Linked DNA regions of Lytechinus pictus. The protein of the gene in region 1 purifies or fractionates together with the protein of each later gene. This does not show direct contact. Links are inferred from orthologs where the notes say so. Each region holds a gene or a part of one and is shown on either strand. Other genes may lie near its edges.

What was found.
Region 2: the proteins of intraflagellar transport protein 140 homolog (region 1) and intraflagellar transport protein 122 homolog purify together in Homo sapiens (affinity purification with mass spectrometry; 4 studies listed by BioGRID and IntAct, counting the BioPlex papers as one, with this or other methods). This does not show direct contact. The link is inferred for Lytechinus pictus from reciprocal best matches to the Homo sapiens genes IFT140 and IFT122.

Annotation. Positions count from the first base shown.
Region 1 is NC_087254.1:17,769,571-17,786,108, forward strand, and holds the start of intraflagellar transport protein 140 homolog, read left to right. Parts: upstream 1-7,141; 5' UTR 7,142-7,235; coding exon 7,236-7,376; intron 7,377-7,789; coding exon 7,790-8,011; intron 8,012-8,770; coding exon 8,771-8,898; intron 8,899-11,002; coding exon 11,003-11,094; intron 11,095-16,538. UniProt on the Homo sapiens protein: Component of the IFT complex A (IFT-A), a complex required for retrograde ciliary transport and entry into cilia of G protein-coupled receptors (GPCRs).
Region 2 is NC_087247.1:78,865,151-78,882,019, reverse strand, and holds the start of intraflagellar transport protein 122 homolog, read left to right. Parts: upstream 1-9,662; 5' UTR 9,663-9,760; intron 9,761-11,415; 5' UTR 11,416-11,482; intron 11,483-12,779; 5' UTR 12,780-12,806; coding exon 12,807-12,943; intron 12,944-13,468; coding exon 13,469-13,545; intron 13,546-14,621; coding exon 14,622-14,755; intron 14,756-15,894; coding exon 15,895-15,974; intron 15,975-16,869. UniProt on the Homo sapiens protein: As a component of the IFT complex A (IFT-A), a complex required for retrograde ciliary transport and entry into cilia of G protein-coupled receptors (GPCRs), it is required in ciliogenesis and ciliary protein trafficking.

The DNA.
Region 1 (16,538 bases):
TCTGATTTTCAAATTCAACCTTTGTCTCTATATACCTTCATTTCGTATCTCTTTTTGTCGATTTCTCTCATTGTCCACCATTCTTGTCCATGCCACTGAGTCTCCTGCTAAAGACATGTTAAGGCCTATACTTTCTCGCATGTTCTAATTCTTTCTTTCTTTATTGTTGTCATTTTCCTTTGCTTTTTCACCTTTCCCATTCCTCCCACCCCGGCCTCTTTCCTCGTTTTCTTTTCTTCATTTTACCTTTTTCTCTTTTCGCCCTTTTCTCGGTGAAATCCGCCAGGGCCGGGGCAGCTCCCCCCCCCCCCCCCCCCCCGGCGCCTGTTACGCCAGGAAGACCAAATGAACAGCCGATAAGACCAATAGGGACTACCAGTAAGACCAATTGAGTTCACTCAGTTGGATACCAACCACTAAGCCAAAACATCAGTAACAGACTCCAGTATAATTAAGACCAGTTTAAAATCCCAGTTACTATAGGCCTATTCAATACCAATGACTGGAGCAGTATTATTTGTAACTAGAACAGTATTACCAGACCGATAAACCAATACTCCAATTTCCAGAGTTACTGGTCCAACTGGTCAAGTTGATTTTTTTTTCTTGTGGTTAATTTGATTTTCTATTTTTATCATTTGACAGATTATTGTCTTATCTCTTCATTTTGGGCTCGGTAAAATGTAGTTTAATGTGTCTATGGACAATCAAGTCTCGAAATGTGTGATTTAAAGAGAAACTTACCCGCCGTTTTTCTGGCTGTGTTTGTGTCGTCACATCTTTTTTTTGAAGGGGTGTCTGTGCTTGTGGGCTTGTCAGTCGTCTTCGTTTCTTTCGAAGAAATGGCGAAGCATAGCTGGTCACCTTCACCTTCCTCCCCAAGTAAACATTGATTCTACTAATTTTCTTTAATTTGGATTTATTTTCAATTACATTTGAATTACTTTCAGATAATTTCAAAATTATTTTGCAACATCTGTCGCAAATGATTTTTTTTTATATTTGATCGGGTGTCACTTTAATTCCTAATGATTCGACAGCGTCAGCAGTGGTGTAATCACGGTGATCCATTTTTGCATTCAAAGTTCTTCTTTTATTAGGATGATTAGTCAAATTACGGTCACAATTACAACACCAGTAGTCAGACATAATTACTAAAATGAATTAATGAATCAAATAAAATTACCACCAGCAATCAGCACACCTACATGGCAATATACTTTTTTTTAAAAGATGTTTTATTGTTTTTCTCTCAAATCAAATTTCATACAATGCAGTTAACAAAGTAACAATTGTAAATAATAATTCAAATAAATTTCTTAAACTAGTATACATTATGCACATCATGAAATAATATTCTAAGACTGCATCGTACCACTACCAGATGAGTTTAACAAACAAATATCAGAGAAAAAAATTATAAAAGTATATGCGTTGCACCTGCCCCCTCCTTGCCCCCCCCCCCCTTCCCTCCACAAACCCCCACACTTCACACCCTCAAACATTTTTCGTACACCCTTGCATATGATGCCGCGTTCCGTCTGAAATAAGAAAACACCATAATGAACGAACATAATCTCGTGAGCTCTGTCGCCTCTATACTCTTGTAAGGAAATGTTCCCATTTCCTTATATGGTTTGATAATTTACCCCTTGTTACTGCTAAAATTTTCTCTTCACGTTCATTTTCTAATATCTTCTCTCTAATTTCGTTGGGACTTGGTGGTCTTTTTAGTCCTGCTGTAAACAAAGATCAGATATTTTATTAAAAGAATAATGTGATTAATTATTTGTTCCTTCCCTATATTAGCATGCTTAACACCAATGTGTATATCCACCCACCTGGCATTTTTTATTTCATACATATTGAATAAGTTACCGCAATCTATCCATAAGTCTCTCGTCTTTTCACATGAGAAAAACAGATGCTCGTAAGTTTCTTCAGTATTCCCACAAAATGAACATTCACTATCTGAGAAAATTTTGAATAAATGTAAATATTTCTTCGTGTATATTAACTCATAAAGCATTTTAAATTGAAACTCTCTAAGCCTATACTGCTTAGAGTACATTTTCTGGGTCTTGAAAATATAGCACATATATCTTTTTCGGAGAAATTATATGTCTTATATTATCAAACGCATACGATTTTTCTAATTTAATACTTAAAAGTGCCTTGTATATTTTATTAGATGTCACGTTTGGTAAACTGTTAATCTTACCATTAAATATAAATTCTAGATTTAGACCAGTGTCTTCACAATTGTCTTTTTTCTTCAATAGGTGTTTCCATGTTGCTGGAATATTTTCAAAAACTTTATAAACTTTATCTATTTCATTTCCATCTAAACCCATTTTCAGAAAGTCTCTTTGCTTCCACCATATAAATAATTTTTTTTATTTTACTTAGAATCTATTTGTAATTAACATTTTCCTGAATTTCTACATCTAATGATAAAGTTATTCCTAATATTTTGATAGTTTCAACTAATTTACCAAATGGAACTTTAATATCTTTTGTAGAAAGAGGACCCAACGCTAATATAAATGTGTTTTCTTTATTCATTTTTAAGCCTGAAATCTTAGCAAAATCTCCAAATATTTTTCCGATTCTATCAATAGATTGGGAGTCCCTCACAAAAAGTGTCATATCATCCGCATAGAGCGCTTGTTTGACTTCTACATTACCAAAGCTGATTCCGTGGATGGATTTATCTTTACGAATGGTATTAGAAAGGACCTCGATACAAAGTATAAACAAATAAGGAGAGAGGGGATCCCCATGTCTCACACCTCTTTCAACACTAAAGTATCCTGTCGATATACCCCCATTAAATACGCAACTCAGGGCATTTTTGTATAATGTTTTGATCCAGCTGCAAAATGAGGACCCGAAGCCAAAAGAACGTAAAACGTTTTGCAAAAAGATGTGCGAGACCGAATCAAACGCTTTTTCAAAATCTATTGCCATTAAGAAACCAGGTGCATTATTTTGTTGTGTGTAGTAAATCATATCGTCAATCAATCTTTTTTTTTTTTTTTTTTTTTTTTTTTTTTTTTTTTTTAAACAAGTGCACACCTAGTTACCAATAATGCATATAGCATTTACATTTATTTGAAAGCAGGATAAAAGAGCATTGAAGATTAAATGCTTTGCTGACGGGCATAGGTGCCGCGGCCGGGGATCGTACCCCGGACTTTTTCATGTATAGCCAGGCGCCTTAGACCACTCGGCCACGGCACCTCCTAAATCTAATTGATCTAATACGATACGATACACTACACGAAGATAAACGATACTAGTTATAATCGCGATAAATCGAGACATGAAAAAGTTAATAACGATAATGACGTCATTCAAGATGGCAACTTGCAAGAAAAACCGTCAGGTCAGGTGAAAATGTCTTAGATGACAGATTTCTCAATCATCCAGAGGATTTTTTTCAATAACTCCGGCCCAAGGTATGCAATTACTTAAGTTATTTATATTACCCTGATAATGGAAACCATGAAAATGTCAATTTTGCCTAAAAAACAGTTTTAAATCGCGATCTATAAAACGCTAGTTCACTATACGTTGGCTGTAGGTAGGGGCCCCCCTCCTCTTCAGTCTATGTATGGTGAGTGGAGCCAACGCAGTTCAGCGGAACAACCAAAATACAGAGACTGAAGCTTTTGGTCTAGGTCATGGGCCAAAACCACTCACTCACACGTATTGCGAGGTTAGTATGCTATACTATACAAACCTCGCACCACGTATGGTTGGAACTACCCCTTATCAACCACCTAATTTTCTAAGCATCATATCTGCGAAAATATTTATCACTCATCAGTTTTACCTAGTTTTCGTCTCATTTGTGCAGAAAATTGAGCAGATCAGATTCCCATGTTTCGATCGGCAACTCCGATTCAATTCGCGTATATATCGGCGAACAACGAATACGACGGTTTTACATTTGCTCATTTGCACCCTTCTTTTGAAACCGACCACCTGCAATACACTAAGTTTACGGCCGATTCTTGTCGCGGTGGTGAAATATTTTTACTCTTTCAAATCAGTTCTATGATGTCAACATGCTAAATCATTGTCTCACTACTTCCATCCACTGCGAGCTCTGGCACATGATTCGACGATTGATGACGGATATTTGTTCTAAAGCCGTTTCCTATCGGAAACGGGGCGGGTTCGGGTCTAGTCATACAATTTTGATAAATTCTACTAAATTTTTACCCTTTTACCCTTTTCCCCTTCTTTTTCTCTTGTAAAAATCAATTCTTACCGTTCCTATGGACACTGCGCCTACTCTCCTGCGCGTATCGTTTGTAATGAGCAATAATTTTGATGCGCGCAAGGTGGTCGGTTTCAAAAGAGGTGGTCGATATGTAGTGGTCTCACCATACGTGTTTACAGTATGGACTTTAGAGTTGTCGGTTACCATCGCTTTATAACGCGAATAATGTTAGTCGAAACTCATTCCGCTACTCACCAGGACTTTTTCTGGTGAAAAGCGTTCCATTTTCAATTTTACAAATTTTATTAATGTAAAAATCATGTAAAAAAGAGCAAAATCGCTTACCTCGGCCTGGAAAGTTGCTCCGCATGTCTCTTCGACGGAAATAAAAGGAAGGTTGTTGGTGGCGCTAATAGTGGGCTCCACACTAACTCTTTTTTTCTACTGGTCCAACCTATTCATGTCGGACCAGTAGATACCCAGTTTTTCCATTTTTTACTGGTCCGAACCTAAAATCTACTGGTCCCAAAAAATAAAGAAAACATTAAAAAAAAGGCGTTGGTTTATTTTGCTTTCCTTTTTTGTTACCCCCCCCCCCAAAAAAAAAAAAATGAAGGACTGAAAGACAAAAAGAAAGCAAGACAAAAAGAAAGAAACAAAGGAAGAAAGAATAAAAGAAAGGAAGGAAGAAAAAAAGAAAAGGTAAAGAAAGGATAGATGTGAAGGAAGGAAAAAAAGAAAGAACTAATGAAAGAAAGAAGGAAAGGAAGGAAGGAAGGAAAGAAAGAACAAAAAATAGAAAGAAAAAAACAAAAGAAAAAAAAGGAAGGAAAGAAAGAAAGAAAGAAAGAAAGAAAGAAGGAAAGAAAGAAAAAAAGAAGGAAAGAAATGAAGTAAGCAAGAAAGAAAGAAAAACAAAAGACAGAAATTAATGAAAAAAGGAAAGAAGGAAGCAATAAAAAAGAAAGAGAGAGAGTAAAAGGAGAGATGGAAAGAAGGAATAAAGAAAGAAAGAATGAATAAAAGGAAGGAAGGAAGAAAAAGGTAAAGAAAGGATAGATGTGAAGGAAGGAAAAAAGGAAAGAACTAAAGAAGGAAAGGAAGGAAGGAAAGAAAGAACCAAAATAAGAAAGAAAGAACAAAAGAAAATAAATGAATAAAGAAATGAAGGAAAGAAAGAAAGAAGGAAAGAAATGAAGCAAGCAATATAGAAAAAGAACAAAAGACAGAAAGTAATGAAGGAAAGAAAGAAGGAAAGAAGCAATAAAAAAGAAAGGCTAAAAGGAGAGATGGAAAGAAGGAAGAAAGAAAGAAGAAAGGAAGAAAAAAAAAAAGGTAAAATGATAGATAGAAGGAAAAAAGAATGAAGGAAAGAAATAAAGAAGGAAGGAAGCAGTCAAGCAATATATAAAAGAAAGAAAATATAAAAGAATAGATGAAAGGAAGAAAAAAAGAGGCCAAGACAAAGAAAGGAAGGAATGAAGGAAAGAACGAAAGAAGAATGGAAAGGAAGCAAGCAGTAAAAAAAAAAAAAAAAAAAAAAGGTAAAAGGATAGTTGGAACGAAGGGGAAAAAAGAACAAAAAACAGTATAAAGAAAGGAAGGAATGAATGAAAGAAAGGGCTGAAAGAAGGAAGAAATAAAAAAGGGTAAAGAAAGGATGGATGGAGTGAAGAAAGAAACAAAGAAAGAAAGTGACAAAGAATGAAGGAAAGAAAGGGTAAAAAGAAGGAAGGAAAGGAAGAAAGAAAGAGATAAATATAGGATGGATGAACTCAAGAATTAAAGAAAGAAAGAAATAAAAAATGAAAGAAGAGAGGGAAGAAACAAAGAAAGATTGAAAAGAAAGAAGGAAAGAAAGATAGAAAGAAAACAGAGGAAGAAAGCTAAAACTATCATTATAAATAAATTATCAGTTTCTTTTTGGCTCAATTAAGATGTATAGCTACGAAAGAACCCAAGTGTATCAACACACACACAAAAGCATTTGTGGGGCTATCATGTATTCAGATGATATCACTCGAAACCCGATCTCTTTGAACTAAAACAGAAGTGAAAATTTCTCCTTTTACTGCTTACAAATGACAGAGTTACCCCAATTTTTAGGAAATATGGACATTACAAGAGCTTTTCAGTAGTCATGTTAGTGTGAAATGTGAATTTTGACAGTTCTGTGAGAGATTTTTGCCAGAGGTTAGCCAAGCTTCGTTCGTGCAGCCAGTATAGTAGAAAATTTACCATGTGGCTGTGTGGCTGGCTAGCCATATGTACACTGTATGTTACCCTAGTAAAAATTGCATACAATTCATTCTGTGTGTATTCTGTGTGTGAATGACAGAAATTAACTGGAGGAAGATGATTTGCAATTTGAGTCATGGAATATTTTTAATGTTTATGTTGGACTAGTGAATTTGACCATTTCTGGAAAAGTTACTGGCCCATCAATGGTTTTTGTTACTGTTTATGTCGGACCCATAAATCTTGCTATTTTAGGAATAATTACTGGCCCGACAATGATATTTTTTTACTGGTCATGTCGGACCAGTAAATCTTGCTATTTCTGAAAATCTACTGGCCCGACAGTGATTTTTACCGGTCTGGGACCGTCGGACCGGGGCTATTCTCCACCTAATGAATATTTATGATGACCTGCATGTTACTGTTTTCACATAATATTGCTGAACATTATTTGTTGTCTTAATTCTGAAAACTATAATAAAGGGAGAAGATAGTTTCTTCAAATGGAGGTTCAACAATTTCAAAGCAAAATACAGATACCTCTAGTAACTTCACTTACTCTAATTCAATTGACTGTCCTAAGATTAGAAAATTAAAGAATGAACAATATAGCCTTTTTCACTTTGCAAAAATGAAGAAAGATTATCCTTTCCCATTTTTTTTTCTACAGAATCATATTGCTCATTTACCTCTTAGGTCCGAGGACGGACCTATAATTTGTATGGAAACCACATCATTTTGAAAGAACAAGCTTGTTGTATCCAAGATGGCTATTTTCTTTGATCATCGAGTTCAGTCAGGCTCAACTAGCCATGTAGATATATCATGGCATAATGAACAACCTTTACTTGCTATTGCAATGAGAGGCCAGCAAGGCGGAGGTGTCATCAACATTTTCAATGAAGAGGTAAGGAAAAGGTTTTTTTTCTCTCGAGAAAGATTTACATTTTTCATGACCCATCTTCATGTTATTTATTTTCTATCTACGTAAAGTGATTGCTATTCATCTTAAAGGAACAATATTTTTAATGAAAGAAAATACTGTGAATTCAAGTTCTGTGTTGATATTTTTGGTGTGGTTTAATCTTTATAGTGGATGATGTAAATGAAAACATTTCAATTTCTTTCCCTTGTCGATATCAAAATAAAATAATCGCTTATGAAACGGAATATATCCGTGTGTGCGACAAATGAGTTCATAAACCTTCAAAAATCACTCATGAATAATAATTCTATGAATTATCTTTATCACTGCCTGTCATTGTTTATTTGCCCTTCCTCTGAATAAAGGAAGATTGATTTATGTGTATTGTTAATTAGGGTCAAGCCCTTCCAGCAGCTAATCTTCAACGTTCTTGCTACTCCACCTCATTGGCCTGGCATCCTACCCATCCTTCAGTGGCTGTAGGATGGGAGAGTGGAGAGATTCTAATCTGGAATGAGCAAGATCAGCAGCTTCAGGAAGCCACCAAACTTCACAAGGCTCAGGTCTGCTTGCTTCAATGGAGTGTCAAGGGTCAACGTTTATTATCAGGAGATAAGGTCAGACTTGGCAAGTGTTTTATGAAGAGTTTTGTTTCTTCATTCACTGACATGATATAAGCTACAGAAATAATTGCATCTGATTGGTTGAGAACAAATTAGTCAGTAAAAAATAATTTGCAAAGCTCTTCATGAACCCCCCTCCTGGATTCTTATGGATCTATCAGTTTCTTGTTAAAATAAACCCTGTATTAATCTGAGCTTTTATATCTCTCTGATATGATATCAAATGCACATGCATGAGTTTGGAGTTCTATGCATAAAGCTGCAACTTGATGCATGACATGTATGTGCACAAGGGATGTATCTTTATAGGTATGTAGTGATTCATCACTTTATTTAACATTCAAATTGTTCAAAACAAAGGAATGAGTACAAACGTGGGAGGAATTACGACCAGGACATATCTGGGTACATAGAATAGCCTAAACAGGACATACATAAATACTAATAACAAAATGGCATAACAATACAAATTGTCTTTTAACTTCTATGGAACTACGACAAATTTTCTTGGTCAACAAAACTTATTCCTTGCTTGACTCCACAAGAAGATTTAACATTCTGTTATAAGCTACTGAATGTATCTAATTTGACAAAAAAAATCTATATCATAGCATTCTTGCCCTTGTTATTGATAACCGGGTCTTTTACACTTTGCTTATATATCATATCACTTAATGTAGGTCTGTTATGCAATAATCAGGAATATCGAAGGAGATTACTAATTCTCGCTTTCTTGATTAACATTGATTATAGGAAGGAACATTGATCATGTGGAAGAGTGACGGAAAAGGTCATCTGACTAGTAATCCCATCAGTCAATTACCATCTCAACAGACGCCAACTCAATGTTTATTTCCCTATGGTGGACCAAAACAGGATGAGTAAGAGCAACTATCCTTTTTACCTTCGCCAAATGAAGTTTGAAAGGGGTGCAATCACCCCAGATCCTGGTTTCTGTCATTCAAGTGTTATTCCTGACTAGAAATGTTCAGTATACAGTGCGTCCCACAAAAAACGAAACCGAGGTTTACGAATGATTTATCATAACTTAATCACAAATACAGTAGACAAATGACCTATCATTGTAAAGCTTAGAATCTCTTCTCTCAGCTGGTATAACATACAAGATTTCTCATCCTCGCATGAGTGAATAAAAACAATTTGAAGAAAGGATAGCAAAAAGTCATTTGGCGGGAGATATCAAAATTTCAAAAAGAAAATCACATGCCTAAGAAGTTCAATATTTGCTCTTTAATTTGATAGCTAAATCGCAGAAAATGGTCAAGAAATAACAAAGCTATGCTTCTTCAAAACAATGCTTGTATTTCCATAATTTCATGAAACATACATGTTTTCACCGGTTTCTCACCTAAGCTATCGCACGGTTAACAAAAGACTTTATGCATGGCTGATCGTCAACAAAACGGAGTGTCGAGTAAGTCTGAAAGCTATCCAGTAAAACCTCTTCATTTTTTGAAATTATTGGAATTCAAGCCTTATTTCAAATAAACAGAACTTTGTTATTTCTTGACCGTTTTCTGTAACTGAGGTATCAAATTTAAGAGCAGATATTGAAATTTTTAAAAATGTGAGTTTCTTTTTGAAACTCAGATACAGCCCGCCAAGTGACTTTTTGGTTTCCTTTCTTCAAATTGATTTTGCTCACTCATGCATGAATGATAAATAATCTAAGTTATTTCAAATGAAAGAGGAGACACTCAGCTTTACATTTGTCTATTGTATTTGTGATTAAGTTATGGAAAATCATTGATAAATCTTGGTTTCGTTTTTTCTGGGATGTACTCTATATTTAATGAGCTGTGTGCAGATTAAATTAAGGCATTGTTGCCCTTACTATTCATCAGGTTATTGGCAGGTTTGTCCATTGCAAATGTTGTGGATCAACTTACTTTCTCACTTTTTAACATATTTCTAATACAAAATTTTGCATAAACATTGGTCTTAAGGCACATTTTTGCATGTGTTGATGATTTTTATATTTAGGGCAAAAATTTGTTAAAAATTTTGAGGTCATGGCCCTGGAAAGCGGGGATGCTGGGGGTGCTATAGCACGCCCAAGATTTTTCATGGGGTGCTGCATATGTAATAACCATAGGCAGCACCCCCCTAGGAATCAGGTTGACAAGCCAACAACAAAAAAAAAACCTCTCAAAATGACATGTTTGGGAGCAATTACCTTTATTTAATTTTTTTTTTCTTGTCATTTTTTTCCAGATGACAATCCCCTTCATAATACCCCCAGCATCTCTTATTTAAAACTCATTCCAGGGCCCTGCTTGTTTTTCCAAGTTTCATACTACTTCCTCACTTTTTTACCAGTGCTCATGAAATTTGGCACACTTGTCTTGAAGTAAAGAGGGGCAACACATTTTTTCTCTATTTATTGGAAACTGTTTTGCCATGGTAACGGCATTGGATGGGGGGGGGGGTAAGGGGTGGTAATTACTGTCAGTGATATTTCTTGTCTTTAATTGTTTGTATTGTTTTGGTATCCATTAGCATGCAAATGTTGCTATTTATGCATTCATTCAATTATTGATTTAACAATCATACACTAATTAGTGTTTACTGTCACATTTGGCTTTAATACATCTATAGAATAAATCAGTAGTACAATATTGAAAGAAGATATGAAAAGAACAATCATTGCTATCCTCTCAGAATTTAACTGGGAGTTGAGGATAGGTGATGCAGTCATATCTACATGGCTTTTATAATGTGTATGGATTCAGGTCAAAACATAAAGGATTGCTTCCAGAAAATTTACAAATTAAACAATTGACAAACAATTCTATATTCTTAGAAATAAGATATTTTTATGTCACTTTATTCGGGTGTCTCTTTCAATAATCTCTCGAAAAAAACTCTTCCAATTCACTATCACTCTCATCTTTGCTGTCTTACTTTGTCAATGTAGATTTCCACTCAATTTCTTTCCTTTTTTTGTCAATTTATGGTGTAAAGTGATCGGAGTGCCCCATGGAGCTCAAATTTGTACAAAGGTTCTTCCAGTCTGTTAGCGGATGGCAATGCTTGCTTTGTAGGAGGAGAGGAAGGTAAGTTGCATTTCTTCCCCAATAGTACCTGTGGGTGCTTCGTGGTCTAGTGGTTCTGACTCTTGCCTTTGAACAGAGGGTCGTGGGTTCAAATCGTAGCCATGGCGTGTTTTCCTTTAGCAAGAAATTTATCCACACTGTGCTGCCATCGACCCAGGTGAGGTGAATGGGTACCTGGCAGGAGTAATTCCTTGCATGCACTGAGCGGCGGTGATGGTAGCTTGAGCTAGAGCCAGGGTAATGATAGCAGCGCTTTGTATCCTCTGGCAAAAAGGGCTTTATAAATCCAGCTATTATTATTACCTGCATGTACTAGAAATGAATTTGGTCAACATTATATCCAAGAGATGTTTGACAAACAATTTTTGGATTAATCCCATATAATATGTTCATCAGTTTGCATTGCATACATGTTAATTATTCTGAAGTATTGAGTCAGTTTGTTCTCTTTTGGCAATTCCAGTTTAGAAATGCATTACAAACAACATTTCACAATCACTTTGGGACAGTTTCTTTCATATTCAAATTCACAACCAAAATTAAATGTTTTAATGTTATACTTGTATGATATAACATCTCTGTGTATATCCAGAGTACTATGAATAGCCTAGCTTAAAATCTAACAAACCTATACAGCATTTAGTGTATTCAGAGATTGATTCCTATCGGATATTTCCCTCTGGCGGAACTTTAATAAAGCCGTTTGTAAGTTATACAAAAATTTACGAATGACTGGTGACCCTTTCTTGTGGAAGATGATAACCATCAAGTTTTCATTGGTGTTGATTTACCTCCTACAAATTGACTCTTAAAGGGATGGTCCGTGCTGAAAGTATTTATAGCTTGATAAATAGAGTAGAATTCACTGAGCAAAATGCTGAAAATTTCATCAAAATTGGATAACAAATATTAAAGTTATTGAATTTTAAAGTTTAGCAATATTTCGTGAAAACAGTTGTCATGAATATTCATTAGGTGGGCTGATGATGTCACATCCCCACTTGTTCTTTTGTATTTTATTATATGAAATTAGGTTTATTCAATTTTTTTCCTCCAAGAACTAGAAAAATTGGATTGATAACTGATTTAGTGCATTAGATATTTATTGCTGCAACTTATTTCATTATAAGGGAGACATATTATTGAATTTTAAAGTTTATGCAATATTTCGTGAAAACAGTTGTCATGAATATTCATTAGGTGGGCTGATGATGTCACATCCCCACTTGTTCTTTTGTATTTTATTATATGAAATTAGGTTTATTCAATTTTTTTCCTCCAAGAACTAGAAAAATTGGATTGATAACTGATTTAGTGCATTAGATATTTATTGCTGCAACTTATTTCATTATAAGGGAGACATATTATTGAATTTTAAAGTTTATGCAATATTTCGTGAAAACAGTTGTCATGAATATTCATTAGATGGGCTGATGATGTCACATCCCCACTTGTTCTTTTGTATTTTATGACGTAATGACGTTGAGAATTACGTCACAATGAGAGAGCCCGCCAGTGAGCGCACGAGGTCTTGACTTCAATTCGTTAGTAGCGCCATTTTAGCGAGGTCATGGAATAATTTTAGTCTTGAGACTGACTACTTTTTTCGACGTTTTTCCCCAAAGGATTTTGTGTTTTTGGACATTTTTCATCAACTTTTTCGTGGTCGTGATCTTCGTTCACCCTTTCAAGGATTTTCTTGCGTGTTTGTGGTTTTTTAAGGCATTATGTCGGATCGTAAAAACGATGACCCTAGTATCAGTGCCAAAGGCACGATCTCGAGGGCAAAGCCCACCACCTCCGCCTCCCCGCTCGCGGGGAAGGCGGATGAACGTTCCGTCGATGAGGCCAGCAAAGCTGGAAGCGACGTGACACTTTTGACTATGCCACCCAAGGCTAAAAGCCATAAATCGAGTGGGAAGTCCAAGCCCTCAGCTCAGCCAAAGGTAAAATCTACAGCCCCGAAATTGTCGGACGATATGGACAGACGTTTCCAAGCGCTAGAGAAAATGGTGGCCAATATTGCTGAGACTCAGCGCCACATGTTTTCGCCTCCCGCTGCGGGGCAGCAGCCGGCACCGATCGGCAAGCCGGCCAAACCCGCACCCGCTGGGTCGGGGTTGCCGAGGGCAAGGGACGTAGAGCCTGGCGAGATTTTCACCGCGGGTGAGTCTACCGGTAATCCGGATTACGAAGATTGCGTTATGCCTATGGATTACATAGAGCATGAAGTGTGTGGTTCTGAGAACTTATCTAGTTATGACTATGGGAATGAACATGATGAAATTGAACTTGCAGACTCCTGGCCACAGGCACAGAGTCAGACTAGATCTAGTCAGAAGCAGCCCCAACCAATCGCAGTTCCTTCTCTTGCGGCAAAATTTGCTACGCCAACTGACATTGGGGAGCCCATAGATCAGGACATAGCACAGTCAGCCAACTTTCTTGTCGGCAACCAATTAGAGGGCAAAACTCTTACCGATGTGGTTGCGAAGTATCCATTACCAGATAACTGCCAGTCCATCGTTACTCCACGCGTTAACCCAGCTATATGGGAAATTTTAACACCGCAAACAAAGTCGAGGGATCTTAAGATGCAAAGGGTACAAAAATCCCTGTCCAAAGGACTGAATGCTTTCCTTCGAACCCTCTCATCCCAGTCTATGACTGAAACGCAGCAAGATGCCATGGCACTCATCTGTAATGCACAATTTGAGATGAATTGTCTCCGAAAGGAGTTCATCAAGCCTAGTCTGCACCGCAGATATAACCACCTCTGTAAGCCTGACACTCCAGTGACAAGATTTCTGTTAGGAGATGACTTGAGTAAACAAGTCAAGGACTTGAGAGATCAGCAACAAGCAGTAGCAGGCCTCGGGAATAAAGGGCTAGGTTTTATTCGCACCTCACAACATGTACCCCACTACCACCCCTACCAGAGAAATTCAACTGCCGCTCAACACAAGTTTGCTGCAGCGGGGTGGGCTCGTTCTAAAGGCAAAGCCAGTAGCACTGCTACCCAACCCTACGAACCGCACAGCGGGAACTCTGACAGTCATTTTTTAGGCCATGCCCCCCGAGGTCGGGGGAGAGGAAAACCTCACCAAGCACAGGGCTGGCCCCATCAGACAAAGTCACATGCTCAACAAGCCGGACCGGGTCAGAGCAACATGCTGAGCCAAAGGAGGAAATAGCTCACAAAGCAGAAAACAAAGAGGTAAGTGCCTCTCAAAATTATGTACCCACTAATTGTGAGGAAAAGAAAGCAGTCGGAGGCCGACTGAAAGAGCATTACCAAGAATGGTGTAAATTAACATCTGACCCTTTTATTTTGAACGCAGTTCAGGGTTATGAGATAGAGTTTGCAGCAATCCCCTCACAGCAACATCCACCTGTCAAATATAGACGTGGCTGTGAGGATTTTAATAAAATAAACAATGAAATTCAGGTCTTACGAGATAAAGGGGTCATTGAAGCCACCTTTCACGAAGAGGGAGAATTTATCTCCAACATCTTCTCCAGACCAAAAAAGAGTGGTGGTATTCGTATCATTCTAGATCTCTCAGACCTTAACAAATTTCTCAACTACCATCATTTTAAAATGGATAACGTTCACACTGCTGCTCATCTCTTAACCCCTAACTGTATGCTCACCTCAGTCGACCTCCGGGATGCCTATTACTCAGTGCCAATCCACCCCAAGCACAGAAAATTCTTGAAATTCATTTGGAACAAATCAGTTTGGCAGTTCAAGGTTCTGCCCAACGGTCTCAGCACTGCACCAAGACTTTTCACAAAAATTTTGAAGCCTGTTTTCGCACATCTGAGAAAAGCAGGGCATGTTGTTGTAGGATACCTGGATGATACTTTAATCATGGGAGATAGTCTGGAAAAGTCAGAAAGGGCCACGAGTGCCACTACTGATCTGCTAACTAAATTGGGGTTTTTGGTTCATCCAGACAAATCAGTCTTAACTCCCACAACAAAATTGCAATTCCTAGGGTTTGAACTTGACACCATAAAAATGGAAATTCGACTCCCCATCACGAAAGTCCAGGATATTTTTCAAACATGTCTTGATCTTCTCAATTCCAATGAACCTACAATTAGAAGAGTTGCCAGGGTAATAGGTAAACTCGTAGCCACATTTCCTGCTGCCCAGTTTGGACCCCTACACTATAGAGCTCTGGAAATGGATAAGGTTAGGGCACTGAGGTTCAACAAAGGTCACTTTGATAGAAAGATGGTCTTATCTCATGAGGCCAAAGAGGATCTCAAATGGTGGCTTTCCAATATTGAGTCGGTGTTTGCCCCCATTGGAAGGGAAAGTCCCTCCCTTGAACTGCGAACTGATGCAAGTGGATTGGGGTGGGGAGCAACTGACCTCACTCATTCTACCGGTGGTAGATGGAGTAATGATGAAATTCGAATGGCAAATTCTAGTGGTATAAACTACCTTGAGACGCTGGCAGCTGGGTTAGGCCTGAAAGCCCTCTGCTCTCATTTGCATGACACTCATATCTTACTTCGCCTAGATAACACCACAGCAGTTGCCTACCTCAATAATATGGGGGGAACCAAATCCAGGGACTGCAATAGAGCAGCTCAAGAAATATGGAGCTGGTGCATTATGCACAATATTTGGGTTACTGCATCCCACCTACCTGGGAAACTAAATGTGGAAGCCGACACTCTTTCCCGAAAATTCAATGACAGAACAGAGTGGATGCTAGACACAAAAGTGTTCGCTATTATTGTTAATAGGTTTGGGTTACCAGATATTGACCTGTTTGCATCTAGACTTAACAAACAACTTGAGAGGTATATGTCATGGTCAGCAGACCCGGGGGCTGAGGCCACAGATGCTTTCTCTGTGAACTGGGGCAGTTTCTTTTTCTATGCATTCCCCCCATTTTGCCTTGTTTCAAAATGTATACAGAAAATACGTAATGACAAAGCTATGGGACTTATTGTCGTCCCCAACTGGCCCTCTCAACCATGGTTCCCAGTCCTAATGAACATGACTCTTGGGGAGCCTATGTTCATACCTAAATCATATTCACTCTTGGTTAACCCAGTTACACATGAGCCTCATCCACTTAATCATTGTCTTGATCTTTTATGTTGCAGGCTTTGTCCGATGCATGGGAAAGAAAAGGACTAAGCGACAGAACAATGACTCTAATATCGGCCTCGTGGAGGCTTTCTACTAAGAAACAGTATGGGGTTTATATCCGTAAATGGAAAGCTTTCTGTGACAGGAAAAACCTAAGTTGTGTTCAGACTGAAGTTAGATATGTTTTAGACTTCTTAAGCGAACTTTTCTTTGATGGATCATCGGGCTACAGTGTTATTAATCAAGCGAGGAGTGCTCTTTCATCCTTCTTAATCTTAAACGATGACAAATATGATATTGGAAATCACCCAATTATCAGCAGATTTAT
Region 2 (16,869 bases), on another chromosome or scaffold:
AACATATGGCATTGTATGGCTTCCCGAAAGCCGATTCCGCGTTTGCCCCCTTTCGCATCCCGTGATCCTCTGCGATGACAGACGCCCTCACGCGACAGATGCTATTTGCGATAAGGTCTATAGGTAGGCACTTCAGTCGGGTGAGCGATCGCGCAGACACAGTGCTAGACGCACTTGTTCTCTTCAACCATCCTGCCTGTGGGGAATCTACAGGTAGGACTATGGTTAGACCAAAAGCTTCAGTCTCTGTATTTTTTGGCTGAACTACGTTGGCTCCACTCACCAATACATAGACTGAAGTCAGAGCTTGGAGGCCCATACGCACTCGTCATCCCTGACCATTTGCCATACAGCAAAAGGTAGGGGATGGGACTAGAGGTATGTGAGGCGTACTCATAGACAAAATTTGTTATAAAAAAATGTAAAAGTAAGAGAGTTTGACTTAACAGTCTTTCCCCCAGAACCAAACGTTGATCTTCCTTCCGTTGTTGCTGGAATTTATCTTGGACCCAACGATATATTGTCATTTATTCGAAGACTCTTCGGGAAATCGTCGGAATGTATGATGAAATTTGTCATGATCCTCAGCAGCGCATAGACTTCTACGTAGAGGATGTAATGCGCCCTCTTGTGCTCAATTAAAGAAAGCTAACGGAAGCAACCACACCACTGACCTCTACAGAGCTGTATAAAAATGCTTCTCACCACAGATACCTGTTTCCGGTGATGCTTCTATTTCGGATCTCCGAGATCCAGCGATAGTAGTCTCTTTCTCCCCTTTATTATTTTATACACAAGAATAATTGTTGTAACGCCATCAGCTTAGTTTATTCTATAATGAACTGTATCTTGTCGTATGGTGAAAGGAAATATGATGCCTTTTTTTTGGGGGGGGGGTTATTGCTTCTTCTCTCGATCCCTCTCTTTTATTGAGTACTATCATTGTAAGGGTTAATTATTAAAGGAGAATGAAACTCTTGGAGCAAGTTAGCTTTTGTGAAAGCAGAAAAATCAAAGAATAAGATCAACAAAACTTTGAGTAAAATAGGACTAGCAATAAAAGAGTTATGAGCATTTGAATATCGAGATCACTAATGCTATGGAGATCCTCCCATTGGCAATGCGACCAAGATCTGTGATGTCACACACGTACAACTCTCCCATTTGGACACTGAAAATATACCCCAAAACATCTCTTTTTGCTTATTCTAATCATATGACAAACGATTCATCAATGGTATAATGTTGTGAAACCTCTGTACTTGTCATCTCATAAAGAGAACACCTCACCTTGTGATAGACTCTATAAAAGTGAGAATATAAGTGAAATAAGTACTAGAGTAATGAGGGAGTTGTACGTGTGTGATATCACAGATCTTGGTCGCATTGCCGATGGGAGGATCTACATGGCACTGGTGATCTCAATATTTAAATGCTCATAACTTTCTTATTATTCATTCAATCTTCCTCAAACTTTCAACAATATGTTTCTTTGATTTTTCTCTTTGATATGGATTCAGCTGGTTTCAAGGGTTTCATTCTCCTTTAATATTATTATTTTGGTTTTCTATTATTTTTCATATTGTTGTGGAATATTCATTTTCATCATCATATCACTTTTGTAAGCCCACATTTTGTACTGTCCTGAAATTAATAAGGGTAAAGGGTGAAATGTGAAAACAATGAAAGGGGCAAGAAACTCAAGACAAAGTGATGAAACAGAACATAATTACGTTCCAATATTTTTTAATGAGTTTCTTTTATTTATCCAGGATGGGGAGCACATCAGGCTCGTGCCCACCCCCTCGAAAGCAATAGAACAGATTTATTTTGCATCCATTTTGTTTGATAATTTATATAAATTGTTAATTTCATTTGATTGTAATCCTTTATGTTTGGATTTGAAATCAATTAAATTAACTTGAAACTTTCCAGCCCTCCCCTTGAAAATTTTGATCTGCCCCTAAATAGGCCTTTGTGGTAAGAGATTTTTTATTTTATTTATTTTTTAATGAAAATCCTTTAGGTTTGGATTTTAAATCAATGAAAACAAACTTGAAACTTCCTACTGTATAGCGAGGAGCTGTTATCATAATTGTGAAATTATTCGTTACATAAATCTCCTTCACGGGGGGGGGGGGAGCTTGTTATTTTTTTCTGTAAAAGAAACCACCCCCTCCCCCTTTGGAAAATCCTGGATTCTCCCCTGATTAGACCCACAGTAAAGTTTGTTATTCCAAACTTCTGTTACATTAATAATTCGGAAATTAATGCCTAACTTTGTTAAAAGTATTTCTATCGTCAGGTTCATTAATCAGAAAAGAATAAGGGGCTTCTTCATCAAGAGTCCCATAACAGAAAATTAACAAAATCGAAACAACTGAATTTCTCCTTTATTTTTTTATTTCATACAAAAATGTCTTATTTCATTTCAGTTTCACAACTACTAGTATCACTTTTGACTATGTATCAATATGAAACAAAATTGCAAATTTGTCTTGATTGAGGCTATCAAGACTTCCTTACCAGAATGCATTACGAGCAAAGTTTCGTCGAAACCTCAACGGTCAGTGGTCCAAACGGGTTGATGAGCCTCTATGGTTTCGTGAGATCTTTTTTCTTTTTCGATTTGTCACTGTCGAACACCATAGACGTAATGGAGGCAGTTGGATGAGGTTCATGTTGAGAAATCGGTGAGTTTTTATTCATTTTTTATATCATATTTATTAATTTCAAGTCATATCCGTCAAAATAACAGTTTACATCAACGGATCAGTTCAAGTATGAACTGATTCGCGATGCTTTGGGCAACGGATGGGGGGAAAATGAGCAATGTATATTTTAACAATAGAGAGGTATACAGCCGAGAACGAGGTTATATTATAACCTCGTTCGTAGCCGTAGGATGAGTGCCCGTTCGTACAGCCAACGTATAAGTGAACTAACGTTATATAGGTCGCGATTTAAAACTGTTTTTAAGCGAAATTTACAGTTTCATGGTTTCCATTATCAGGGAAATATAAATCACTTTAAGTAATTGCGTACCTTGGACCGGAGTTATTGATAAAAATCCTCTGATAATCCTCTGATAATTGTCCGGGGGGGGGGTAATCGTCCAGGGGTAGTTGCCCTTGAATCAAAGAAATCATATGCCAATATGTCAAATCAATCTGAGTACTTTAAGATTTTAAAAATAAAAAGCTTGTACAATTACCCATAAGCTATGTATTATAAATGTGCCATGCCCAAAACAGAGAATAATAAGATTTCGTAAGCCCTGTTTTTGTATCACAAAGATGACAATTGTTATTTTGTATGACCTTTAAAAATAAGAGTAGTGCCGTCAATAAAAAAAATTATAAAACAAATAGGGCAAGCAAATATTTTCATCACTTGCCCAACAGGGCAAGTGACGAAACTTTTTTTTGTAGAGGCCTGACTTATATAATTTCCTTATTGTTCAGAATTTTTTGACAGGAACTTCTGCAACAACACATCTTCTAAATAAAACTTTCAGAATGATAAAACATTGAATACGTACAGAAAGATCTCAGTATTGCAGTATTTGATAAATGTATTGATTAGTAATTATCAATTTGCAAATTAATTAGTTATCTATTCAAATCTCACTGCTGCAAAAAAAAATCCTGTTTTGGTATATTTAAGTTTGCCTAAATAAAGGATAAATGACATCCCAATTATCTTACAACAAAATACTGAAAACAAGCTAAAATTGTGTAATGTGTATATTTATAATCATCAAAGGATGTAATAACTAATAATATAAATATAAAACAAGTAGACTCTAGATCTCAAAAGCAAATAATAACTCGATCAATGCGATGCACAAACTGCTAGCATAATCCCTCTGAGCCGGTGCACCCATGCCAGGGCTCCCGGCGACACTGCACTCATGATGGTCGCGTAGCACGCAACTCTCGCAGCAGTTTGCTTTTTCTGACAATCAATTTTGAGGAAGTAAAAAATAAATGATGGGATGTTTAGATTCGATTTATATTCACCACACACCAAGAAAAATATATGAACAAGCTGTTAAAATAGGTTTAAAAACTGTCAAAACTTACCTTCAGGGCCGGTCACGATGGTAAAGACAACATTAGACTTTCACATGAGCCAAATCCAACTTCTATGCGTTCGATCTTCAAAATTTGACAACGAGGCAAAGGGGATTTTTCTCAGCTACGTCATCAGTGAAAATAAGCCAAATTGGTGAGAAGCCGCCAAATCTACACCCATTTAAAGCCACCCCTTACAGAGCAACCCAAACTCGTTCTGAAACCGCTGCCGGTGCCGCGGTATTGAGATCACATCGCGCGATATTCACATACCTACTTTGTATATGGGTCATTCCATGGGGTTGGGGCAAAAATTGTGACATCAGGGTCAAAAAATAGAAATGTAATAAATGAAAAGTTTTTTTTCTTATATGTTTCATGGGACAATTCTTCAACTAAATCCACTTACAGGCATTTCATACCACCCTGCATATTTGAGTAAATTGCGAAACAAGATTTGACAAAATACCACCGTTACATGGACATCATTTATCATCCTTACTTAGACTATACTCTCCCACTGTCAAAATAAAAGGGTTGATCTCAATTCCTCTCAATAAATATTTTGCTAACAATATTTTTAGTCACTTTATTCCACATTTTCCAACATGGCATATATATTTTGAAAGATTTAGCATCAATAAATGGAACTTGATGCTCTGTGTGTATACCAGTGCCATGTTCTGTGTCGTTCTTTTTTCTCACCAGTCAAGAAAATTCAATTTATGATGGCATGTAAAACTAAATAGTTGACAGAAGTCATGCCTCAACAGAATGGAATATTCTTTTTGGAAAAACTCAACTACTCTTTCTGGCCTAACCTTCTATTTTTGGTGTTACCACCGTTACATGGACATCATGTCTCTGTAACAGAGGTATAATTTGAAGCATTGTAAGTTAAGGTCCATTAATGGTCATCACATACCAAATTACACTTTCTGCCTTAAATTATTTGCACAAGATCAATTGATTATATTAGAAAAAAACCATTTTGCATGTCAAATTCTTTGCAAATAAAAGAAATTTAAATTAGAGTTTAAACAAAGAAAAATGTACAAAATTATTGACAAATTATGTGTCGTTCTTTTTTCTCACCGGTCAAGAAAATTCAATTTATGATGGCATGTAGAACTAAATAGTTGAGAGAAGTCATGCCTCAACAGAATGGAATATTCTCTTTGGAAAAACTCAACTACTCTCTCTGGCCTAACCTTCTATTTTTGTTTGGTGTTACCACCGTTACATGGACATCATGTCTCTGTAACAGAGGTATAATTTGAAGCATTGTAAGTTAAGATCCATTAATGGTCATTACATACCAAATTACCCTTTCTGCCTTAGAATATTTGCACAAGTTCAATTGATTATACTAGAAGAAAAACATTTTGCATGTCAAATTCTTTGCAAGTAAAAGCACTTTAAATTAGAGTTTAAACAAGGAAAAATATACAAAATTATTGACATTATATTTAAAATCATACTAATCCTCAAGGTTCCACTTCCGTCTGTCTCTGGAAACATTTATGTTTCTGTCTAAAGGGGAAAAAACGAAACAGTGCTATCTTACGATCTCCAAATCTTTTATTACTTTGAAATATCTCCTTCAAGATATTACTTTCAAATGTAGATACCTCTGTTACACGGACATCATGTCCTTGTAATGGTCATATTGAATAGCATTACTTGAATATTTTGACATATTTTTCTAGTATCAACACACTAAATGCAAGTTAACTCATCTTACTCAAGTGTAGAAATACAACATCTACAAGCAAGCTTCTGTAATTCATATCAATGAACAGGTAAAATGTTTTTTTATTCATACACAATTATAAAATTTTTTGATACCTTTGATACAATATTCAGGTGAAAAATATGTAGGGAAAAGGTACTAGTTTAGTTCTTCTAAGCTATGGTTTTTCAAGACAAAACAAGACAAAGTTCGCATGGAAGACATGGACAACGCATTTATACCTTACACATATAAACTTGTTCAATTTGTTAACTCTAATTTGTTTTACCTCAGTTACATGGACATCATGTCCTCAAAATGGTAGTGTAGAAGTGACATTAATTAAAATATAATCATGTCATCACTGGAACTTACATACATTAGATAAAACATTAAGTTCCAACATGTGAAAAGGACAATTGTAAAGTACTTAGTGGACAAATTTAATTTAAGAAACTCACCACCTTTATATCTTCTGTTTTTTTAACAGAGTTGTAAGCGAGAAAGTAAAATGTACTAAGCTATTCTAATGATCAAAAATAAAACTGCAAGAACTCTTTGGTAAACTTCTTACTGGCAAATGCAAAAAAATGTATTACACTGTACACTAAACCTGACTATTAAAATTAACATGCAATATTTCTCTCTGCATTCAGGTTACAAGTTTATGAACTTCAAGAAGACTGGTGACCCAATAAGAAATTTCAGTTTGGAAGAGGATTCTGTCAATGTCACAAAGTGGATGGAGGTAGAATTGTGCCTCGCCATCAGGCCAGGAGTACAGGTCACCAGATTGACACTTCATGTACTGAAGATATACATTTTCACCTTGAACAGAGGCTACCTGTAGTTGAGAAAAATAGTATTTGGAAGTTTGACTATATTTTTTAAGCAATAAGCAAATATTTTTTATATCATATCAAATCATTTACTTATTTATGTCTTGACATTTTCTCATTAAAGGGGGTGGATTACTAGGGACAATGAATCTGATCTGTTCTTGCAAAATACACAGGAACCTTCACTTTGTATTTTTTCATAGCAAATAGAATTCATCATTTCATAGTTCATAAATTAAATATAAAGTTACGTTTTATAGAAGGTTTTTGTATTTGTGTTGTTGTGTTCTACTTTGTTTTCACAATACAATTACTTGCCCATTACCTTTTCATAAATTATCTGTACTTCAATTTCATTTCTCAATGGATTAATTTAATCTAATTTTATTCTGCATTCTAATCAAGGGTGGTTATCTAGACAATTCCATTTAGTTTTTTATGACCATCCTATTTAATTTTCATTGCTGAAGTTTAATTGTTCAAGCAATTACATAATATATGTATGTTTTATTGGAATTAAATAAATTAATGGAATTCAAATCTGCAATTTACCTTCTGATACAGCAAATAAACTCTTGTGAAACAAACTTGATTGTGTCACATTTTCTTTTGTTCACTTGTACATGTTTTAAAAATCTCATTATATTGCAATAAAAAAAAATCACATTGAAAACAATCACACAGGCTTTTGCTTTCTGATAAAACGAATCCCCCCCCCCCCTCTCCTTACAATTGAATATATAGAAATCAAAATACAAAATATTGAAAAAATATTGAGAGAAAAAAAGAATGTGCTGAAAAGTATAACATTCAACAAGATGAAAAGTTTTGGGAAGGTTAGGCCTACAGCCAAGAATTACTAGTAATTGGATTATGGCCATGCTTCATCATACACAAAGCACATGCACTATGTGTAGGGGGTAGTAACAGAAACATTATTTTGCCCCCCCCCCTTCTTTCGGATTGGGATCAGCTGACAAGCAAAAAAAAAAAAAAAAAAATGGGCGGGGGGGGGGGGGCCTGCCTCCCCCGTGGCGCTGCCACTGGTTCTAAACTCTCATTTTTTGGGGGAAATTCAAATTTGATCATCAGGTCTTTGATACCCATATTACGTAGAATCAGTAGGAGCCAATTTCAACAAGGCGAGATTTTGTACCAAATCTGAGATGTCAGCATGATCATCGGTGATAGAGCAGTTTTGAGTATCCATTGGCCTATTGAAATAACATATTTCGGTGTTCAAAAAAATCAACTAAATTGCGATTGAATCATGTCAGCTAACATTCAAAACATGTTTGCACGGAATCACAGTAATAAAAACATTATTTCTTTGGGGCCGTTTAGCAAATCTGGAACAAACACGGCGATGTCTCAATCACATATTTCACTTACACGAAAAGATACATGTGGGACTGTAGTAAAAGATTATGGAAAATTAGCGAGATTTTTCAAACTTAAAAACACTTTCTGCACGATAATATAGTTTCACATTTTTAAGATAAGGTTTAACTGATTTAAAAATACGAGTATCGGGATAAATCTCCGTACTTACGTCGCTTTGAAAGGGAAAACATCGTGGAGATCCAATCCACCGTTACACGGACATTGCGGGAAGATTCCCAATTGCAATGCTGCAAAACACCCGATATCATAGCCGTTCATGTGCACGTGGATTTCGGCTAACATCCCGTCCGTCTGATACATACAACGACGGTCTCTTCTCCGGTCTCTCCTTTTTACATACGCGATGAAATGTGATCCACCGTTACAAATTTGACCCGGACATCGCCCAAAACATCGGCGACCCTCGATTAATTAACATGACATTAACATTGGTTTTCAAAGCTAATCTTTTGATGAAAAGTTGCTTACTGCCTGCCCTTTATTTCTGACACATAACTTTGGAAAGAATGATTTCTGACTTTTAGTTATTTACCACTTTACCGCCGTTACAGAAAAAAATAAAGGCGGACATCGCATGTAACGGTGGTATGCGATGTTGTAGGAATTAATAATGATATGAAGCCTCTTTTCATTTGCTATCCCATTACTGTTTTGTTATTAAACAAATGTTGCTTTATCAATCATGGCCATTTGAATTTGACTTAGTTTATCTTTTAATTAGATATCTTCAACTGAAAATGACCATTTTGGATGTCACACTTGGTACCCCAAAAAAGAGTCTGGACATCATCATTTAAAGTCTCATCATCAAAAATACTTGAGGTTCAACATTTTTATTTCTGCATCAAGTAATTGCTTACATAACTGCCTTCCAACAAAACCACATTGCAACATCCAAACGCCAAACACATTCTCAGGATAAAGCCAACAATTCATAGGGAACACAAAAAAGTGCTGTTGCCCCAACCCCGTGGAATGACCCATATGACTAAGTTATGTCTATGAGATGAAAGTATCCACAAATCCTTTCAAATATGTGAAAAACTTTTCTCCTGAAATTGCTGCATTTTTAAGTAAGAATGTCATGAATTACGCACTTTCGGAACGGTGACACAATGATGGGTAAATTTTGAGTCACCGATTCGAAACGTCCAATACATTTACTACACAGACATATCGCGCATGCGCACACACACGCACCGATCGTACACAAAAGTGCATTGACTCAGCTGCGTTGTTGAGACCTTGGGTTGAGATATACGTTGAGACGCCACCCCCTCTTATTTTGATAACAATTGTCACCCCCACTTTCAAAATGAAATGATCGTGAGCATTTTTTTATAATCTATATTTTGATAGCAAATATTGGTAACTTGAGCGGGCAGCTATGGAAACATTGATTGCTTAGTGTGGGCGTCTTAAATCTTCGCCCGAGAAAAATGGCAGCTAAAATTTGCACCGTATGGACCAAGTTTGCAAGTTGTATTTATTTATTTCACATCTTTATACAGGGTAACTAATTCAGCTATACACGATAAAAACATTGACAGTCTGATTTTGACTGCGCTAAACTCCTTTTTCTTTTGCTGGATCTTTTAACCAAATGTTGCAGCATTTCAGGGAATTACTGAGGATTAATATCAGATGCCACAAGACACTTTTCAACATTGCAAATGATTTCTAGAACCATTTTGGTCAGGCAGTGACAGGTGAGTGGCGCAACAGTAAAAAAATTGCACATGGCAACTCACTGCGCATGGACGTTAGGCTTACTCTCCATGAAGCCTGGGATGGGATGCCATAGGCCCACACACACCGAGTATTTGGAGACAACAATGTTGCTCCAAAATACTTGATTTCTTTAACTTACTAATTACAAACTTATGTAAAAATGTAACCTTTTTACACGAAAAATAATATAACAATTAAGAAAAATCATGTAAGAAGATGAGCAGATACTCACAGATGTTATTGTCGCCATCTTGCCGTCTTTGTTATCGTAGCCTAGCTAAAAGAGAGGGCGACAATATCATGAGCAGTGCCAATTTAAATAAAAAAAAGATACTTCCATTGGCCGATAAATATCATGAATCGTAAAATACTTGCATTGGCCAATAAATATGATATTTATTGCCGATGCAAGTATTTTACGATTCAAGATATGATGATATTTATCGGCCGATGCAAGTATTTTTTAAAAATTTAAATGAAAAAAAAAGGACAAAAAACAGTGACCTACTTCGGCTGTCGCGCAACTCCCACTTCCCTAGTTTATCTGAACTTAATACATAAACATATGTCCATTGAGTCCCTGTACAGATCGAGTTAGAACTTCGGTCTGTGTAATTGGTGAGTGGAGCCAACGGAGTTCAGCGGAACAACCAATATAACAGAGACCGAAGCTTTTGGTCTAGATCTACTTAGACCGTACTAATGTTATATCTCAAACTGACTCGAGGATGAGGGGTTCGATCGAGTCCCGCTCATCATGCGGAAAGAGTACATCTATCCAACGACGACGAAAGTTCAATGTCCATGCCAACCTATATAAGAATCATTATTAAACATCAAATCCCCCACTTAAAGGGGAATAATGCATTGAGTCTATGGGGTAGAGTTCCCTTTCACTGTGAGCAGGATGGATGGCTAGCCATCTTGTATTTTTTGTATGACACGAGGATAAACCAACAAAGTTTTTTTTAAATGTCAGTACTGCAATTTTCCAAACAGACTAATTTAGCTGTCTACACTTCACTTGAATGAAGACATTGCTACTGATAGTGTTAGCAAGTTCAATAACACCAAACATGTCATGAACTGCCTGATTTAGTTGGCTACAGTGCTGGCATTGTTGCTCAACCTGACTCATTGAGGTCAAGAGTCCGGAGACGGCAAGAAATCTTTATTGAAGCTAAAATATTGTAGTTTCTGATGATAGATGTACAGACATTCAGGTGAAAGATTGTTTAGGAAGGTTGGGTTGGGCAAAATTTGGGTAAGAAACTTTAAATTCAATTGCTAGAGAAACCACCTACATTTGGGCAGGTTACGATTGTCTTTGTTCAAATTTCATGAAGTTCTTCTTCCTCAGGGTGGACCTGTGTCTTTCACACTTGAAGATTAATACAGGCGAATACAGGTTCTCTTTTGTCTAAATAAATATAATGTTTTAGTGTCATGTACATGTAGGTGTCACTATTTATGTAAAATTGAATACTCAATTTGGCAAATATATAAAATATTAGAATCTGTTGAGGTAATCATGGCTTCACTTCATAACCTACTTACCTAGCCTTTAACCTTTTTGAGACAAAATTAGATCTTTAGAAATTATTCATCGGCATATTTTCCTTTTATCAAACAGTATTCATGATCTTGCATTCAAGCCTGATGGAACCCAACTTATTGTTGCTGCTGGTAATAGAGTACTGGTAAGCCATGATATTATTATGTCTGTATTCCAACTCAGGAAGCCATTACCTGTGTGTGGAATGTCTTATTCCCGCAAGTGAAATATTATATTTCATTTCTTTGATGTATGCATTCAAAGAGCTCATCAACTGCTGCTACAGCAAAACCTTGCATTAAGTGTGAGTGCTGTATGTTTTCTGGTCAGTTAAATTTCGACACTTGAGATGAAAGATGCAAATTAAATAATTTTTCCTTCAATAATTCATAAATTCTTTAGATTTAAGTTGGAAAATATTATGAGAAAAAAATTTATTCACAATGCTCTATGATATTTGATGCATACTAGAATTTGAGAAATCCAACTGCAAATTAAAAGTTGTATATATCTCAAGTTCTTATCTAATCCCCAATCTTATTAGATTGTAACTCAAGTCAGTTGATCTTGTTTGCTTCTCTTCCTTTTTATTATTTATCTCTTGTTTTTCCTTCTTCATCTTCCTGTCTTGTTATTTTTCTTCAATTTCTTGTTATTCCTCTGTATTTCTCTTCCCTGTAAACCATTTTAAATAAAGATATGAATTCATAGTATTGGAAGAGATTTTGAAGTTGTTTGATAGTATATCATCATAATGGCCTTTGAAGATAAATTGCCTTTAAGCAGGGTTGGGCTCAATTACATTCAAAATACATTCCTAATTACATTACAGAGATGATCCAGCTACTTACCAGCTTCTAATTAACATTATATTAACCTGTTAAAGTCAGCCCAATGAAAAATTATTGTCAAGTTGATTATAATCTGGTCATTAGCTGGCTTAAGCAGGTTATTGTAATGCTAATTAGAAGATGGTTAGTAGCTAGATCATCTCTGGAATGTAATTAGGAATGTATTTGGAATGTAATTGGGCCCAACCCTGCCTTAAGTAGATATTCACATTGTTTGTTTTTATCTTCATAATCAAATAGTCAACTTGATGTGTTTGAAACTTGCGAGAAATTTGAAAAATCACATTTAAACTTTTTTATTTCTTTTCTTCCTAAGTTCCTTTACTGGAACATTAGTGGGAGCAGAACTCAACAATTCATACCAAATGCTTGTATTTTTATTTCAAGATAATTAGCTCGATCAAGTACGATTATTTTTTCATCGTGCATTTGTTTATTTCAGTCTAAGATCTACTCTGTTTTAAGTTGAATTTACTTACACATGGTCTGTATCACACTTTTCAGCTTTTCAATAAGATTAAAATATTAGTAGTATTACCAAGGTTCTTGAATATCAACAAAACTCATCATACAATGTGTTTTATGTCATAGGTTTATGACACTAATGATGGCACACTTATGCAGCCTTTGAAGGGTCATAAAGATACTGTCTATTGTGTGGCATACGCCAAGGATGGTAAAAGATTTGCTTCGGGATCAGCGGACAAGACAGTCATCATCTGGACATCAAAACTAGAAGGAATATTGAAATATACGTAAGTCATGTGATACAAGAGACAATTACTTTAATTATACTTTATCCTGCAACTTACTTGATTACCAGCCTGTAGAGAAGTCATCAGTGTTATTCTCAATGCCCCCGAATAAATGCAGTGGTGTATACTGTACAGCAATGATAAGGTTCATATGTTATCTTTTTATAGGGCACCGATGGTCTTGGTTTACATCTAAAAGAAGGCAATATATTTAAAATTGATTTAACTGGTGTTGATGATTGATGGTCATGAAGAGGAAATTAATGTGAAGGATGAAAAGAATATAGATGTTCAGTAATAATTGAAGCAAAAGAACTACTGAATTTTCAGAGCATTTATTAGAATTCATTAATTTGAAATTAAAAAATGGTGCTGAGTAAAGACATGCTCACATTTGTTTGTTTTTTACTTGCACTTATCAAGAATGAACAGAAGGCGATTTCAAACAAATCACAACAGAATAAGGGATGTTTCTAATCGTTATTTTTTACATTAAAAAAAATTGTTTGTATTGTTTTATTACAGTCACAATGATGCCATTCAATGTCTTGGGTTCAATCCAATCACACATCAGCTGGCTAGTTGTGCTTTCAGTGATTTTGGTTAGTATCTGCATTAGTATTATTTCTTGTTTATTCCTTAGATTTTAGTATGTCCTAAATTTCATATATTCAATTCGATTCAATCTATTCTTGATAATAATTAAAACATCATCTAATGTACATTCGTATATGGAAATTTCATTACAAGAAAAGGAGGGCAACAAATAGTTTACACTTGAAAATTAGAAGCCTCCAAAAATACAGTAAGTATTGTATGTACACATTAGATGAAGCGACCTGTTGAATATTTTCACTTCCCCTTTTCCAAGATATCTAAATAAAATTGAACATAATGCAATTATGGTACCCTTAAAATTCTCTTGAAGATAATCATTTAATAATTGAAGGCAAATTTCTTTGTAAAAATATTAAGATACCTGTTGTGAGACATACCTAATATGTGTTTAAAATCATTTGTTTTATGAGGAAACCTCTTTTGATTACTTTAATCTAAGTTTAATAGACTGTCAAAGATACAGTTCCTGTCAACTGTGTCTATTGAATATAAATACAATGTATTATTATTATTATTATTATTGAAAAGGGTTACAGTATTCTTAGTTTAGGGAGAAACAGAAAAGGGTAATTTCAGTGCATTTGTTCCTATTTTGTACAAATTTGTCTGACATGATATATAAGAAATTGAGGAACATTTCTGTTTTTAATTCTCTTTAAAATTTATACCTATGTCTTGCATTTCGGAGTTGGTAATGTTAGATATGAAAAAGTTTTTTTTTTCTTTTCCCGGGGGGTCCTAAATGATTTTCATGTAGAGAAAAAGGAGATGGAGTGGAAGGGTGGATAAAATGATATTATGGAGCAAGCAGGCTCAGTTAATTCAACAGGTCACTACTTCATGAATTCTAGGATACATCTATTGCTATAATATTTGAAAATAAAAAATATTGAGAAAATGTTTAAGTAACAAAAAATGCTGTTAAAATCTAATTTCCATTTAAGTAAGTTAAAAGGAAAGGCGACAAATGTATTTAATACTGAATGAAATTATCATGTATACATGTATGGTGGAAAATTTTCATCAGAATATATGTTGACCTCTATTTTTTTTCTTTCAGGATTATGGTCCATGGAGCAAAAATCTGTTTCCAAACACAAAGTGACAAGTCGTATTACATGTTGTTCTTGGACTAACGATGGTCAGTACCTAGCTTTAGGACTGTATAATGGATGTATCACTATCAGGACTAAGGTAAATACTCATAAGGAGACAGCCGATTGGATGATATTATATGACACCTAGGTAGATCCTTGTCATTTGATTGGTTGGTCGATATCGATCATTCAGCCCATTCTACAATGACGTTATCAACCATGCAAGTTTAGATCCATTCATCGTGCAATTTTGGATCCATATGATTTTGCGCACCCAGACTACAATGCAGGCACCACGCGATAATCAACAGACCAAGCTCGCACTGCATTAGCATATTTTGCATCGAAATTCACAAATTTCATATGAAATAGAATCTATTTTTAGGTGTCATATAAACCAAATAATGAATGTTCTTTTCATTTGTGCAATGGACAGAATACTTCATTCGGTGAAAGATGAAATGATCCATTCCATTCTCGGCTACGCCTCGTCGAATGGATCATTTCATCTTTCACCTCATGAAGTATTCTGTCCATTGCACTCATAAACATTCATTATTTGTATATTATCTCGAGTCATATTTCAGTATTTTCTGAATCACATGTAAAAAAAACAGTACGATTTCTCTGTTATGATTTTAAGATTATTTTCGAATAAACCATTGTTATGATATGGCAAAAAATAACAAGTTAGATTAATTCTAAATTTGATTCCTTTCTTTATTTACAGGAAATAGATCATACATTAAACAAAATAAAAAATTATCTTACATATCTTGAAGAGTCAGTTCTGAGTATTTCCAAATTATGTCCTGTATTAAATCCGTATAATATCCAAATTGGCTGGCAACGATTCCTATGTTCTTATTATGCAATGAACTTCCTTAGAGAAAAAGAAAAACTAAATGGATGAACGTACATGTGATTTCGCTTACAATTCTTAAATATAATTTGGCTCAGTATCGTTTTATATATTTCTTTGTAGGAAATGAAAACGAAATGTAATTGAATAATCAAATGACTGGAACATTTTTTTCAAATCTTTATTTGCCATTGAAGGTAGGGAGAAATGATTACACTACAGAACAGGATTCATGGGATTTGGGATGTGTATGGGTGTAACATCTGTGTAAACAAAGTAGGTGAGATGGTTTTTATTTGTTATTATTATTATCATTTTTTTTTCTGGTTCAATGTGATAAAATATGATTTTATGAATCATGCTTATTTTTATAGAATGGTGAAGAGAAGCTCAAAATTGAGAGACCTAATGGTGGTCTTAGTCCTATATGGAGCTTACAGTGGAATCCTTCTAAGTAAGTTATCTTTATTTCTACTTCTTATTGTTACAATCAGCTCTATATTATAGCAGCTATATGTTGAAAGTTAACCCCTTTTTTGTGTGTGTGTATTGTCAAACATGTAGTGAGGTACTTGCACTTTGGATAGGATAGCAAGATATTCATTTTCTTTTTATTATTTCAGAAAATATCTCGCAACCAGCCAGGTTTATGCATTGAAATGATTACTCATTGATCAGATTTAACTAGGAGAATGACTGAATGCAAATGCATTATGTGCATACCATGTAAATTAGAATAGTAATGGTTTCAGAAAAATCTATTGTCATCTTTGAAGTTTAAGAATTTGAAAAGTAGATCACTCTAGAAAGAATAAACAAGACACTAAATATTCATTAGATCTTTTAGAAGGCAGATAAATATAATTCAGTCTAAGTTTGATGTCATGGGAAATTGATAAGTTTGATGAATTAGTTCCGCTATTAATCTAATCTTCTTACTGATATTTTGGACAGATCATTATTTTTCTTTGGGTGAGTCTGGATATTTGAAGTAAAACTTTGATATTGTGGTTGTCAATAATTTTTGTTTTTTGTTTGATTGATTTTGAAGGATTTGTTTCATTGGTAGTTCTGGCTAGACTAATTTTACAAGCCTTTAATAATGATTGTGTGCAGTATCTTGGCCTGATGATGGACACTGTTATTCTCTGGGGAAAAACATAAATTCTAGAATTTTATCTGTAAAAGGAAAGTAGAATAAAATGGTTGTGGAATTGAAAGAGATCTTGTTTGATGAGAATGTGAGAGTATGATGTGACCTTTCAGTTTGATCTGTATCTTTTTAATGTAACTTCCACTGATATGAATTCCAAAGATGTGAAAATTATTTGTCTGTACTTAACCATAAA